Nothobranchius furzeri: one gene and its partners. The protein of the gene in region 4 purifies or fractionates together with the protein of the main gene of each other region. This does not show direct contact. Links are inferred from orthologs where the notes say so. Each region holds a gene or a part of one and is shown on either strand. Other genes may lie near its edges.

What was found.
Region 1: the proteins of polr3glb (region 4) and polr3h purify together in Homo sapiens (co-immunoprecipitation; 4 studies listed by BioGRID and IntAct, counting the BioPlex papers as one, with this or other methods). This does not show direct contact. The link is inferred for Nothobranchius furzeri from reciprocal best matches to the Homo sapiens genes POLR3GL and POLR3H.
Region 2: the proteins of polr3glb (region 4) and polr3f purify together in Homo sapiens (co-immunoprecipitation; 5 studies listed by BioGRID and IntAct, counting the BioPlex papers as one, with this or other methods). This does not show direct contact. The link is inferred for Nothobranchius furzeri from reciprocal best matches to the Homo sapiens genes POLR3GL and POLR3F.
Region 3: the proteins of polr3glb (region 4) and crcp purify together in Homo sapiens (co-immunoprecipitation; 3 studies listed by BioGRID and IntAct, counting the BioPlex papers as one, with this or other methods). This does not show direct contact. The link is inferred for Nothobranchius furzeri from reciprocal best matches to the Homo sapiens genes POLR3GL and CRCP.

Annotation. Positions count from the first base shown.
Region 1 is NC_091752.1:65,980,945-65,984,743, forward strand, and holds part of polr3h (DNA-directed RNA polymerase III subunit RPC8), read left to right. Parts: intron 1-2,474; coding exon 2,475-2,538; intron 2,539-2,648; coding exon 2,649-2,883; intron 2,884-3,799.
Region 2 is NC_091746.1:29,572,791-29,575,744, forward strand, and holds the end of polr3f (DNA-directed RNA polymerase III subunit RPC6), read right to left. Parts: intron 1,154-2,954; coding exon 1,046-1,153; intron 975-1,045; coding exon 783-974; intron 712-782; coding exon 634-711; 3' UTR 519-633; downstream 1-518. UniProt on the Homo sapiens protein: DNA-dependent RNA polymerase catalyzes the transcription of DNA into RNA using the four ribonucleoside triphosphates as substrates.
Region 3 is NC_091750.1:56,805,458-56,807,915, reverse strand, and holds the end of crcp (DNA-directed RNA polymerase III subunit RPC9), read left to right. Parts: intron 1-923; coding exon 924-1,061; 3' UTR 1,062-1,940; downstream 1,941-2,458. UniProt on the Homo sapiens protein: DNA-dependent RNA polymerase catalyzes the transcription of DNA into RNA using the four ribonucleoside triphosphates as substrates.
Region 4 is NC_091745.1:58,816,380-58,820,834, reverse strand, and holds the start of polr3glb (DNA-directed RNA polymerase III subunit RPC7-like), read right to left. Parts: upstream 2,989-4,455; 5' UTR 2,799-2,988; coding exon 2,691-2,798; intron 2,552-2,690; coding exon 2,422-2,551; intron 2,339-2,421; coding exon 2,270-2,338; intron 2,186-2,269; coding exon 2,120-2,185; intron 2,047-2,119; coding exon 1,961-2,046; intron 1,820-1,960; coding exon 1,706-1,819; intron 103-1,705; coding exon 16-102; 3' UTR 1-15. UniProt on the Homo sapiens protein: DNA-dependent RNA polymerase catalyzes the transcription of DNA into RNA using the four ribonucleoside triphosphates as substrates. Specific peripheric component of RNA polymerase III which synthesizes small RNAs, such as 5S rRNA and tRNAs.

The DNA of each region.
Region 1 (3,799 bases), on a different chromosome or scaffold from region 4:
GCTCAGGGGGAGAGAGGTCCAGAGTCTGGGGGCCACAGCAGCAAATGATCTGTCACCTTTGGTCTTTAGCCTGGTGGTGCACAACCAGTAGGCTTTGATCACTGGACCTCAGGGACCTGCTGGGGGTGTAGGGACTAAGAAGATCACCAATGTAAGATGGTGCTTGTCCATGTAAGGCCCTATAGACCAGAACCAGGATCTTGAAATGAACCCTGAAGTTGACTGGCAGCCAGTGAAGCTGGAGGAGAAGCGGGGTGATGTGGGTGTGTTTGGAGGACTTGGTCAGAAGCCGAGCACAGGCATTCTGAACCACCTGTAGACGGTTCAGGGAGGTTCTGCTCAGACACGTGAAAAGAGAGTTACAGTAGTCTAAGCGTGAGGAGATGAAGGTGTGGAGAACTGTCTCAAGTTCAGAGCGGGACAGAATGGGACTCAGCTTAGCAATGTTCCTGAGATGGACGAAGAAAGAGCGAACAAGAGAACTGACATGAGAATCCAGGGTGAGAGCCGCTGCTCCTTCAGCAGCAACTATTTCTTGCATGTGAGGGGTGGATCCAGTCCTCCAGACAAACTCCTCCCTGCTTCCTTCTTTTTCACCTCACAAGTAACTTTTTAACTAGCAGATCAAATTGATCTATTGACCACAAAAAAAGCGGAGTGAGCGCCGCGCTGCACGGCTGCGCCAGTGACGAGCGCTGCGGCGCGAGCGCGTCCACACATCATGCTCAAATACAGACAGAACTTACCAGAGAGAAAATGAACGGACACAAACGACTGTGTGTTAATTATATATTTTTTGGTGAGGCCCTTTAGAAACTTAGAAAATGTTACTGTGGCCGTGTGCAGAACACACCTGGAGTCCATAAATAATCAGCGGTCTGCCTGCCGCTCTGCATCTCTGCCCCAAAAGAATCCCCGCTACTCTGAGTCCATGTAAATAATATAATATAGGTACAAACTGGATCTCTTTTGTGCTCCTTCTGGGTGTGTGAGTTAAGGGCATCAGGTGAGCCTGACAACCATTAAGGAGAACCAAGTTGCTCTCCTGTAATTTGAAGCCAGTATCCAACTCCGGATCGGGGCTTGGATCGGGAAGTAAAGCCCGAGTCCTGATCAGTCTGAAACCACGTGATCGGGGCCGATTTCCGATCATGTGATCGGATCGGGACATCCCTAGTAGAGACCCACATGGCAGCAAAAAAAAAAAAAAAAAGATGCAAAATGTGAGTTTTGCAAAATATTCCACCTTTAATATTGTGATACTTTAACATAGATGTGTGTGTTTAATATGAACACATTTGCAGGAATATAAAAAAGAAAATTATGGAAGCACTTGAAAAATAGCCATGATGGAATTTCTACACCTAGATGATTTTATCATTTATCATACAAATTAAAAAAATATATATATATATAGTGTATATATATATATATATATATATATATATATATATATATATATATATACATATATATATATATATATATATATACACACATTAAAGGATGTAAGAAAATATCGATATGGCAATATATCGTGATATTGTATTGATATTCAAAAGATGTATATCGAAAATATCGATATGGTAATATTTTGTGATATTTTATCCTGTGATTTTATATTAATATTCAAAATCCATGTATCAAATTTTTGGAAGAATTTACATGCAAATATTTGTGTATTTTCTTTTCTTTTGGTGCAATTTAAACGCAGACCGCTAGTTGGCAGCAGTGTGCAATGTGTTTTGTTTCCACCACTGAAATATAAATCCCTCTGTTATGGTTCAGATACCTCGCATTAAAAATGTTAAGTATCAGTTTGGACTAGGGCTGGGCAATAAATCGAAAATTTATCATTATCAAAATTTCTGACTCTTATCGTGATCATTTTTCCCGTGTCAATAAATTCGATAATAAAGAAATGAAAAGATGTGTAGGTTGGTAACGTTCACATCCCTTTAAGAAGCTGTACCACCTTGAGTCACGTAAAAATGTGACTCAAGTAATACGTGTGACAGCCCCATCTAGTGGACAACTTTTGTTTCTGCGCATACCTGTAGTTATCGCCAATTTATCGTTATCGAGGTGAAATTCTCAATATATTGTGACACTGATTTTAGGTCGCATCGCCCAGCCCTAGTTTGGACTGTTTATTCAATATTCCTACAAAAAATTCTGTCTAAAAAAATTGCTGATATCGTATTGTATGGCAATGTATCGTGATATGTTGTATTGTCTCCCCTATATCGTGATACTTGTCGTATTGCCAAAATTTCACCAATACACATCCCTTATATATATGGAATTTTAGTCATTGCTGCAATTATATGTTATTTTACTGTTATCCTCTGCTTTCCAGGTACGCTGTTTCTTTCATGTCTGATGCAAGAATGACAAAATATCCTTTAACAGTAAACGCTTTAACAGCTGTGTACCAGATTTCAACAGGAGCTTCTCACTCTGCTGCTTCACAGTGACCATGGGCTTCTTTGATGATATTCTCATCCCTCCTGAGTCTCTCCAGCAGCCTGCAAAGTTGTATCCAGAGTTAGAAGCACAGTGGTTTTGTTTTTACTGCATTTGCTGAGTGTGTGACTGGAGTCTTATGGATCTGGGGTTGGTTGAGCCTTCCTTAGCCGTAACTCCAGTGATGAAGCGGAGCAGGTCTGGGTCTGGGAGTACGAGACGGATGAGGGAGGGCACGACCTCTACATGGACCAAGGGGAGGAGATCCGCTTCCGGGTGGCGGATCAAGTCTTCGTGGACACGTCACCAACAGGCCCTGCTGTAGCTGCGTCTGACGCGCCGGCACAAGCGGGGCAGGCAACGGCGCCGCCAGCAGAGGCCAGCGAGGGGAAGAAGGAGGCACCGTACACTCTGATTGTAAGAATCATACAGACAAATTAAAAATCAGCTCTCGTAAAGATGATTAAACTGTGGGAGCAGTCACCATTTCAGGGTATTTGTAAACTCTTTCTGGTGCTCAGTTCATGTTTTCAGTATTTTGACTGAATTAGATTTTGATATTTTATTTGTCTTTTAAGTAAATGGGAGCTTTAACTCATTCGCTGCCAGCGTTTCTCACCGTTTTTACAGTTTTTTTTAAGCCACAGAACGTTGCGCGCTAGGATGACGTTGACGCCAAAACAACCAAAACAAAGCGGAGACTCACCTCTTACATCAGGAAGAATCCGCGCGTTTCGAGCGTTATCCGTTCTTTCATTATCTGTTGTTGAATTGTGATCGGCAGAAGCTTTTCCGGTTCGCGCCTCACTTTTTTTTTTACAGCAGCGGCCCAAAACGATCTAACACATGGATGTTCTGCTTCCTGATCACGTGACGTGTGACGTATACGGATGAAGATCCGCTTTAGAGCTGAGGTGTTTGTTCTCACGGTGTGGGGGCTCGTCCGATGCCCACACAGTAAAAACATGCAAATGACGAATTTACTCGTCATTGGCAGTGAATAGGTTAAACATCTGGTTATGAGAAACCCTAGCCTGGGAAGCCATCCTCTATAGGTGAATATATAGTCTGGACACGGCCCGTTGACGGCTCTCAGTAGTGGGCCTGGGTCTACGGTTTTCTTCCAGACTGTCTCTGCATGCTATTGGATATCAAACAACATGACGCACTCGCCGCTACCGATGTAAGTCAACGGGGCTTTCTGCCATACTCGTCCAGGGTATCCGCAGGTCTTAAATTAGCTTTTCCAAATTTAAGGCCTTAAAAATTACAAATAATACTTAAATACATTTTCCAGAGGTCTTAAATTTTCAAAGACCCAATAAACAAGATT
Region 2 (2,954 bases), on a different chromosome or scaffold from region 4:
TAGCGGTAGCCAGTGGAGCTCAATGAACAGAGGGGTGACGTGTGCTCTTTTAGGCTGATTGAAGACCAGACGCGCCGCTGCGTTCTGGACCATTTGAAGAGGTCTCACAGTGCAGCCTGGAAGACCAGTTAGAAGGGCGTTGCAGTAATGGAGGCGGGAGATGACGGTAGATTGCACCAGGAGCTGGGTGGCATGTTGTGTTAGGTATGGTCTGATCTTTCGTATGTTATACAGCACAAAGCGGCATGAACGAGCAACAGAGGCAACATGATCTTTAAAGGTCAGGTGTTCATCAATCACAACACCCAGATTTCGAACTGCCTTTGAAGGCGCCAGATATAGATTTTGGATTGAGATATTGTGCTGTATGGATGGTTTCACTGGGATGACAAGTAGTTCAGTTTTAGAGAGGTGGAGTTGGAGATGGTGGGATTTCATCCATCTTCATTTGTCAGAGAGACAGTCCAAGATTCCTGCAGATTTTACACCAGACTGAACAATAACTCATCTCAGCATCAAACGGTTCACACGAGCTGCTTTATTAAGACTGATAAATAAAAAAAAGAAAAACTGTGGATCACAGCAGGCTGAATGAAGTTTCCTCACAGAGAAAAGAAGTGGGCCGAATAGCCATCAGAAGTCCAACCACTCGGTCATGTAGATGCAGCTGGACGGAGAGATTTCCCCTCCCTCATGACAGTCATCAAACACCTGCAGACAGGATCAGGTGAGTTCAGGCGCGTCCACGAGCAGGATGCAGCCATGTTAATGAGTGTGGTTACCGGGCAGAGTCCGCAGGGCGTCTTGACGAGGCCGGTGGGCTGCAGGATGGGGTTCACGCCCCTGTACAGCTTCATCTGCCCGTCCACGCTGCCCACCGTCCCCTCCTTGGCGGCAATCACGGTCATCTCCACCTTCCCGTCATAGATGAGCGTGTTCAGAATGGTCTCGATGTCGTCCATGGACAGATCCACCTGGACACACACCTGTCAGACACACGGACTACAGCGAGCGTGATGTGTGATTGGTGGACGTTAGCAGTCACCTTACTAATTCCAAGCTCGCAGATGTACTTCCACACTTCATGAGAGGTGGCGAAGGAGCTGTTCCGCTGAACCATCGGGCTCTGATTGCTGTCCCTCGCTGCGTCAGCCTTAACACACGGAACACCACGACGGTCACATGACCAGAACCCACCTGTTCCTGAACAGCATCATCCAGACCAACCCAGAGGATGGGTTCTGATCCGATCATTTGGTCATTTGGCAGAACTATCAGGTTCTGGTCCAACAGTTGTTGTCGTCGGGAGGGTTCCCCAACAGAACAAAATGACCCAGAAGAACCTCAAAGGAGTATTGATGGAGGCTGGCTGAAGCTTCACGGTTAAAGAGCTTCCATCGTTTCTTTAAGACCTCTTTTAAAAGATAAGATCCTTACATCCCATAATGCCTTACTAAGGAACTGAGCTCAGAGACATGAGGTCAGGTCAGTGGACCTTCAGGAGGGAGATCTCTGCTGCCCTCTGGTGGTCCGTAATGACCTGAATAAACTTTTATTACCACACGGCTGTTCCAGCGCTCTCATAACAAAAACAGAGTAAGAGGACAATTCAGTTGTCTGTCTGTCCCGCTGTCTGGGGGTGGGGTTCAAACCTGCTCCACACACCTCAAGGGACAGTGCTGGACTGCCCTTTCCCTCTTGACCAGCTTGATTAATGTCCCCTTGACCCTCTCTACACTTCCACCAAACATAATAAACCTCATAAAAGGACAACAGACGCTACCACAGAGCTGTAGAGGGTCCATAACTGAGTTCAGTTCACCCCAAAGGAGTAGGTGAAGACGACGAGAGAGAGAGAGAGAGAGAGAGAGAGAGAGAGAGAGAGAGAGAGAGAGAGAGAGAGAGAGAGAGAGAGAGAGAGAGAGAGAGAGAGAGAGAGAGAGAGAGAGAGAGAGAGAGAGAGAGAGAGAGAGAGAGAGAGAGAGAGAGAGAGAGAGAGAGAGAGAGAGAGATCCTTCAGGCCGGTTTAAAGTCAGGCACATCCACGGATACCCAAAGTTCAGTCTCGGGGATGAGAGGTTTGTTGCTATGATGCTGCTGCTAAGCCAAGATCATTAAAAGGCTTCATTTAGTTTAACTTAAAGAGCAAGTCACCCCCTACCAGAGTCTAACTCCACTCCCACTTCCTGTTTGAAAAATGCAACAAATGCTGTTGCCTAGCAGACCGAGAGGGCGGAGCCGCTAACTAATACACACACACACAGGCTCACAACAACATTGTGACATCATATGGTACCAGCTAGTGATGTGTCGGTCGCGAACGAACCGGCCCTAAGAGCCGGCTCATCATTGGGAGCCGTGCCCCCCCCCCCCCCTTCCCTCTTGCTTTGGTGAAAGCTACAGGCGATTGGTCAGCATGTGTAACTGTGTGTCCAGACTGTCCACACACAGAGCAGTAGGGGCGGGGAAGAGGGAGGATCAGACTCAGACACACAGCAGAGCACATGCAGGTGGAGGGAGACGAGAGGGAATGAGGAGGAGGAAAAAGGTGAGAGAGAGAGAGAGAGAGAGAGAGACAGAGAGAGAGAGACAGAGACAGAGACAGAGAGAGAGAGAGAGAGAGACAGAGACAGAGACAGAGAGAGAGAGAGAGAGAGGGGAGAGCGCGACGAAGACGGTGAGAAAATGAGCGCCAGCAGTCGGAAAGTGGAGATTTCTTAAAGTGTTCAGTTATTAAATCCATAGAAATGATAAATATTTGATATATTGCTTTTTTTACATTAGTAAATTATTTTACATATAGTTTATCATCATTTTGGTTATAAATGTACTCCACGCAACAGAAAATCTGAGGAGCCACTTGGGAGCCGAAAGAGCCGGCTCTTTTTGGTGAGCTGAGCCAAAAGAACCGGCTCTCTAAAAAGAGCTGGAACTTCCATCACTAGTACCAGCTG
Region 3 (2,458 bases), on a different chromosome or scaffold from region 4:
ATAACGATATATTTACAATATATTGTGCAGCCCTAACACACACACACACACACATACACACACACACACACACACAAAACATATATACCAAGTAATGTGTCTATGGTTACATTGTGATTTCTTAGTAACTATTCTATTTGCTGAGAGACAAACTTTATTGTATTTATCCTAGTTAATCTATAATTAAACGGGTAAACTAGTAGTAGCACATTCAATGTCAAAGAAAGTAAAATGTTATTATCAGGAGAGGGAGAATGTTTAAGTGGTTAGCAGCGGTGTTTAAGCCGATATTTTTTGCTTCTTTAATTATACCAGATATTCTCAAATCGTTGCTCCAATTTGACTCCATACATACACAACTTGCTTTATTAGTAATGTTAAGTAAAGACAGGTGTAGCTTTTTTGTAAATTACTTAGAAATTCTAATAAGTCTGTGATAAATTGAGTTGCCTTTGCTGTGGTTATGAGGTTTTGGGGTGTTTTTTTTCCTTCTTTAAAATATTGAAAATTATATTAAAAACAATATTGTTTTAATCTTTCCTGAGAATAGGGCATCTTTAAAACACTCTTCTGATATTTTTATGTTATTTTATTTGTGTTTAATAATTCTTTTATCTAAATGTTTCACCCCATTTAAAATCCCATGGGTGTGCAGATGTTTAAACATGACTTCTGTTGGTTTTTTGCTAAGCAGGAAACCACAGAAAAGCTGGATTATGGTATTTCTGTGTCACTAGTGAGAATTCAAACAATAATGCAGCCATGAACCATCTGATTCTTCTCCAATGACATCAACAGAGTTTATTGGAAGGTTTTTCCGCGAGAAATCCAGAAGACGGACCCAGATCTTTTAAGCTGATGGATCAACATTTCCTTGTGTTCTATTTCTATAATGTGGCCTTCGTTGCCCTCTCTCTGTGTAGATGGTGGAGGAAAGTGAAGAGCGTTTGTCAGAGGAGCAGATTGAGGAGCTCATCCAGACCATCTCAGACCACCTGCCCGGTGATCCGGAGCAGGAAAAGGCAGCTGCAGAGACGGATGAAGGTGGTGGACAGTCATGACTCAGGGACGGGTTTAAAATCGGACTGTATGTGGTGGTGAGGAGGCCAAAATATTGTAGAACTGGGAAAAGATGCCTTTCAAGAGCACAAATGGTGTGGAGCACCTGACCACAGAGAAAAGGGCATAATTATTCCTGTTGATGTAGAGGCAGTCACCTGTTTAACTGCTATGTTAAACGGAAAGCTGCTTAAAAGTCCTAAATTATGTGTTTTTGAATCATAACAGTAAACATGGATGTCCAAATCCACCTTTCATTAGTCGTATCCTTAGTAGATTATAGACTTGGGCATTTCATTTTATCTTTCATTAGCTAGTTGAATGCAACTCTGAAGCATTTTGTTCACTTGTAAACCCAATTAGCTTTACAATTTCCTGTAAGACAACATATTTTTCTTCCCGCTGAGCTTTGAACAACTCGTTTTTGGTGCAGCTGTGTCACAGCAGGGGAAGGATGTGTTGGTTTGGACCTTTTCTGTTTTTGGCTTCCTGTTGGTTCATCACTGTAATTTCCGGTGCTTTCTGGGCACCTCGCAGAGTCAGGAAAGTAAAGCAATGTGACATTATTGGGGACTGGTTTTGGACTCGCCTGTGCACCAAATGCATTTGATGTTGGATTCAGCTGTCAATTTTTTTCCCTGTGGTTCAACATTAAAACAGTGAATGCAGGCTCTGCTGCTGCAGAAGACCACTGCATAAATGTGTCTGAGTGGGGTTAATAGATCCCCTGCAGCTATGTTTTCTTTCCCAAACTTCGTCACTGCACTAACACGCAGCTCAGAGATGTATCGACACACTCTTCTATTGGCAGTGTCCATCCACTCTTTTTTTTTCACAAACAACTTGAAACAAAAAAACTCACAATAAACGTTTTGTAACTATTCAGAGAAAGTATGATTTTGTAGTCAGTGAAAATGGCAATGATTTATCCCCACTTTCATACATTCAAATGTATTTAATTATGTAAGTTTCTCATTACTTATCCCTGGATCTTTGTGGGTATTTAATGTTATTGTGATTGTGTTTTGACAGCCTTACTTAAGTCTGTAGCACCTCCACACAGGCATCAATACATCAAGAGTATATCAATGTACGTTTTGAAAGAAACAAAACAAAATATGATTCTAATGAAAAGATGGGTAAATTAAATGTGGCGGCTTTAAGATCGACTCAATCCCACACTGTGATTAAATTTCCCCGGTGGGCTTTTACTGAAAGCATACCAATCGATTTGGTAAAGTAATTTTAGCCTCAAGAGGAGAGAAAACGCTTGTTGAAGTAGCGGAAATGCCCCTTTAACGTTTCAACCAATGGGAGTCGTCCAAGCAGACTCGCCGTGCTGCGATTGACCAATCAGCGAGCAGCTTTCACCTTCTCGCTTGGCTCGTGCCATCCGTGT
Region 4 (4,455 bases):
TAGCAGGACGAAATTTCAGTAAATAGCCTCGTCCATGTTGTCATCACTGTCTCCTCCAAAGTCCTCTCCATTCTCAAAGTAGGACATGATGTAATCCGTCTCCTGCAGGACAAACCGATCAGTTAGAGACCAGTACTCACAGTGAGACCAGTTACTTTTTAAACCTGCTACCCAGCTATGTCCCCGCCCTGTTCAGCCAGAACGGGTCAGAATTCTGTACCCAATAGACCCTTTTACTACCTACGTCATCAAAAGTTGCGAGCGCAGCCTGGCAACGAGAGTGAAGGCTTCCTCATTCACACTCGATACTAAAGCAGTGTTTTAAACCCTTTGTTTTGAAGTTCTGAGCACATAAAATGTCGGGTTGTTGCGTGTATGGATGCCAGAATCGCTTCTCTCCAAGTAGTGGACTGAAACTTTACAGAATTCCGAAGGGAGCACATCCATTTCAACAAAATCGGAGGTGTCTGTGGCTGCAGGCCATCAAAAGGGTTGATGAAAACTGGACTGAAAACACGATCCGAAATGCTCGAGTTTGTAGCGCCCATTTTATATCAGGTAAGGTAATTATGTACTAAGATTACACCAGAAAGCTGGTTAACGTGTGTTCTATTAAATAAAGTAAGTTGCGCTTGCTGGTTTGCTTTTAAGCAGTCTATTTATTTTTTAATTAACATTTCATTCTAATTCATCTGTATTTTCCCACTGCATATTAGTATAAACTGTATTTCTCTAAAATTAACACGATTGTACTCTGAGCACGCTAAAAAAAAAGAAACCTAAGCTATACTCACCCTGCCATGCAGGTACAGTTGGCTGTGAAGACGTAGTTCTCTCGTTTGTTTACTATGACCCAAGCCTCGTACATAGCAGTCTTGTGTCCTTGTCTTTGGCTAGGAAGGACTTCTGCCTTCAAGACGCAAAACTCAGAGTCTATGTCGTGATATTTTACTTTCTGTACGTGGCCACAGACAACATAGTTGTATGCATCTAACGATTTGTATGCCCGTAGCTTCTCACGTGTGTACTTACTGGGCCTCTCCACTAAAAACGTATATATATCGGGCCACTGGATATCTGGCCACGCACCTACATCTTCCACCCATTCCGTAATGCCACAGGGATCCGGGAGTCTGTTGCCATTCGTTAAAGTGAGTTTAATAATATAACATTCAAGATTTGCCGGTGATAACCCCGCAGCGTAGCTTGATAAAGCCTGACACAACGCCATTCTCTGTTGCCAAGCTGCGCGAGCATTCTCGCTGACGTCATATTGTTTACAAACAGTAAAAGGGTCTATAAACGCTCCTCTTTGGTATGTTCTTGCTGTGTTGCTTTTCTAACTGCATTGTTGGTTCTTCTTGAAAACACGGAAAAGGTTTATTTTTACCTTGCTGCCAGCAAACCGGTTAAAGTTACCCTCGCGGTCTATCACTGGCAAATCAAAAGTGAGACGGATGACACAACCGCCCCCGTACTTGCTTGTTACCACATTCCAGAGAGAGAGAGAGAGAGAGAGAGAGAGAGAGAGAGAGAGAGAGAGAGAGAGAGAGAGCGAGAGAGAGAGAGAGAGAGAGAGAGAGAGAGAGAGAGAGAGAGAGAGGATTTTGACAGCACTTTTTTCTGACTATTCCAACTGACGGATTTCCGTCACCCCGACGGAGAACTTTAATCCCTGCCACACCCACACCGGGTGTCACCTCACCTCTTCAAACTCTTCCTCATCGTAATCCTCCTCAGCCTCAGCACCCTCATCCTGCTTCTTCTCCATCTCTCCTTCCCCCTCAGAGCTCTCCTGCTCCTCCTTCTTCTCCAGCGTCTGCAAGTATGACACACACAGGTCACGTCATCGGTATGGTAGGACAGCAGGTGGCTGAGACACCTGCTCCACAGGTGAGTCTGACAGATCTGGAATACGTTATTTTACCTGTGACCTGTTTCCCAGACCAGTCCAACTCACCTCCAGCTTCAGAAGGATCTCCTCTCTGACCTTCTTCTTCTTCTTCTGTATCTGCTGACCGCTGTCCCGGCAGCTGAGCAGCGCACCTTAACAAAAACACATTTTACCAGCAGCTAACACAACCTGGCTCAAATTACTGAGAGTAATCAGATTACTGACCATCACCGGGTGCTTTCCTGACGTGGACTCGCAGTTCTCTGGGGAATCTCTTCCAATCTGAAACGACTAATCAGCATTACTCCTGATCAACACATCACATTGGGTTCTCTTGGTTACTGTGGTTACAGATATTAGCATTCATGGTCTCACCTACAACCCAGTCCTTCAGCCTGTCAGTCTGTTCACTGATGTGATATTTATCTGAGTATCGCTCCACATCTGACAGGAAGTGCAGAGGAGAACTTCACAATAAGAGAGCAGTTACATCTGATAAGCAGTTAAGTGGTGATTGTTGGTCTCACCTCTTTGTGCCACTGCTGGTTGGATAAAGCATGGAAGACTCCTCATGGCTCCCCTGCAGTCCTGTTTCAGAGCCAACAAATACTCTGCCTCTTCTCCACCTGTTAGAGGCAGGGGCTTCTGCTCCATCACCTGGAAAACATTAAACTGCAAATCCCAGAATGCACTTGATGCCAAAAAAAATAAATACACAATGTCTGCTCAAAATAAAGCCACACGTGACCTAAACTCCAGGTGTGACTGGGTTCAGGTGTAGTGGGGTGGAGCTTACTGGAAACACAGGTGTAGGCTGGTGAATAGTTGGAGGAAGAGATTCTCTGATGCCGACTGCATCCACACTGAAACTCATCATCCTGTGGCCACGCCCACGACCTGCCATCTCTATTGCCTCTCTAAAGCAGACCAGAACCAGAACATGAACGGACCCTCTGTGGCGGATGTGGGTAGGGATTTTTATGACCTGTAGTGGTGGTGAGTGGTCATAGGCTGGCCCTCGCTTGTGAGAGGAGGGACCCTTTGGTCTTGACCCGGTTAACGCTGGGCCACAGTTGTCTGCGGGGTGGGTTGTTTTTTATTAGGGGAGCACCCGGATGGTAACTGTGACTGTGGAGAGTTGGAGAGTGTGAGATATGTTCTTCAGCATTGCTGGCGATATGCAGGAGAGAGTGGTCCTCTCTTGGGGGCCCTTGGTGTGTCTGTTTTCAGTTTGAGGACTTTGTTGGTGATGACGGACTGTCGTAGGGGTGTAAGGGCAGACTGTGAGTGGGAATAGGTGCTGACCCATCAGCATCTAGCCTGCCAGATCCAATGAAGAAGACCCTCTGCAGCCCGGTCAGACGTGGTGCTGAATCTGGATTCTGACAGAACAAGAAGGCTGAATGTTAGCAGAGATGTGGAGACAAGTGACCAAATGTGATGAAGGTTGTGGAGCATCATGGAGAGGATGCACGTCTGAGATCGAAGAGATGTTAGCTGATGTGTGACAGGAAGTCTGGAGCAGGAGGAGGATGCTAAACTGAAACCTACTAAAGAAAGTCCTTGTCCAGACTTCCGTCCGTTGGATTCTCTTCCTACTTGAAGCCAGCGTCTTTCATTCCGGACCACCAATAGTTCTGGTAGAGCTTGGTGTCCAGCTTGTTCCTGTTGTCTGGGTCAACATGGCCCCCTATCGGAGAAAACCAAAGATTCATAACAGCTTTTCTATATAATTGATCCTTTAACCTCTCCAGAATCCCCAGGTCCAATAATACCATACAAACAGAACCAATACAGAACGCCAGGGTTCTGGTCATTGGGCTGGTCCTGAACTAGACTGGACCTTCAATAGGTTCTGCTCCAGATTATCTCACCCGGCTGAGAATACACGCCCCCACGCAGTTCATCAAAACGACGAGTAGCTCTCGGTGACCCGGTTGGCTTTGTCTGACACGGTCCAGCGACGGCTCTTCCGGGATCGTTCCGTTTTAGGGGTCACTAAGCGTCGTCTCGCCTCTAAAGCGACAATTCATCTCGTTAGAACCTGAGGAACATTCACGTCTCCACGGTTCCGTCTTGTTTTGGACCAGACCGAACTGTCTGTTTACATCCGGCTTCGCGCCGTCTAAGTTCTTCTTCTTCTTTTGGTGTTTTATTGGTGGTTGGCAAACAATGAATGGTGCATTACCGCCACCAACTAGTGTGGAGTGTGGTCTGGAACAGCGCTCACATAACCAAACCAAACAGGGGGTTAAGACTCAAAGTCTCCCAAACACCCTTATCTCTTTCAAAAACCGAAATAAAATCTGATAACAGTCACTTTTTGAATTCTGTCTCAATAAATCAACAAGATCCAGTTTCACTTTCATCTGACTAAGAGTGTGAACTTAGTGACAGTGTAATATAACATGATCTATAGTTTCGTCTTCTCCACAATAATCACATTTCCCTGTATTATGTTTCCCTATCATGAATAATGTATTGTTTAACCCAGTATGTCCAAACCTTAGTCTAGCAATGATCACCTCCTCTCTCCTACTCTTTCCAGTGTTTCTCATTAG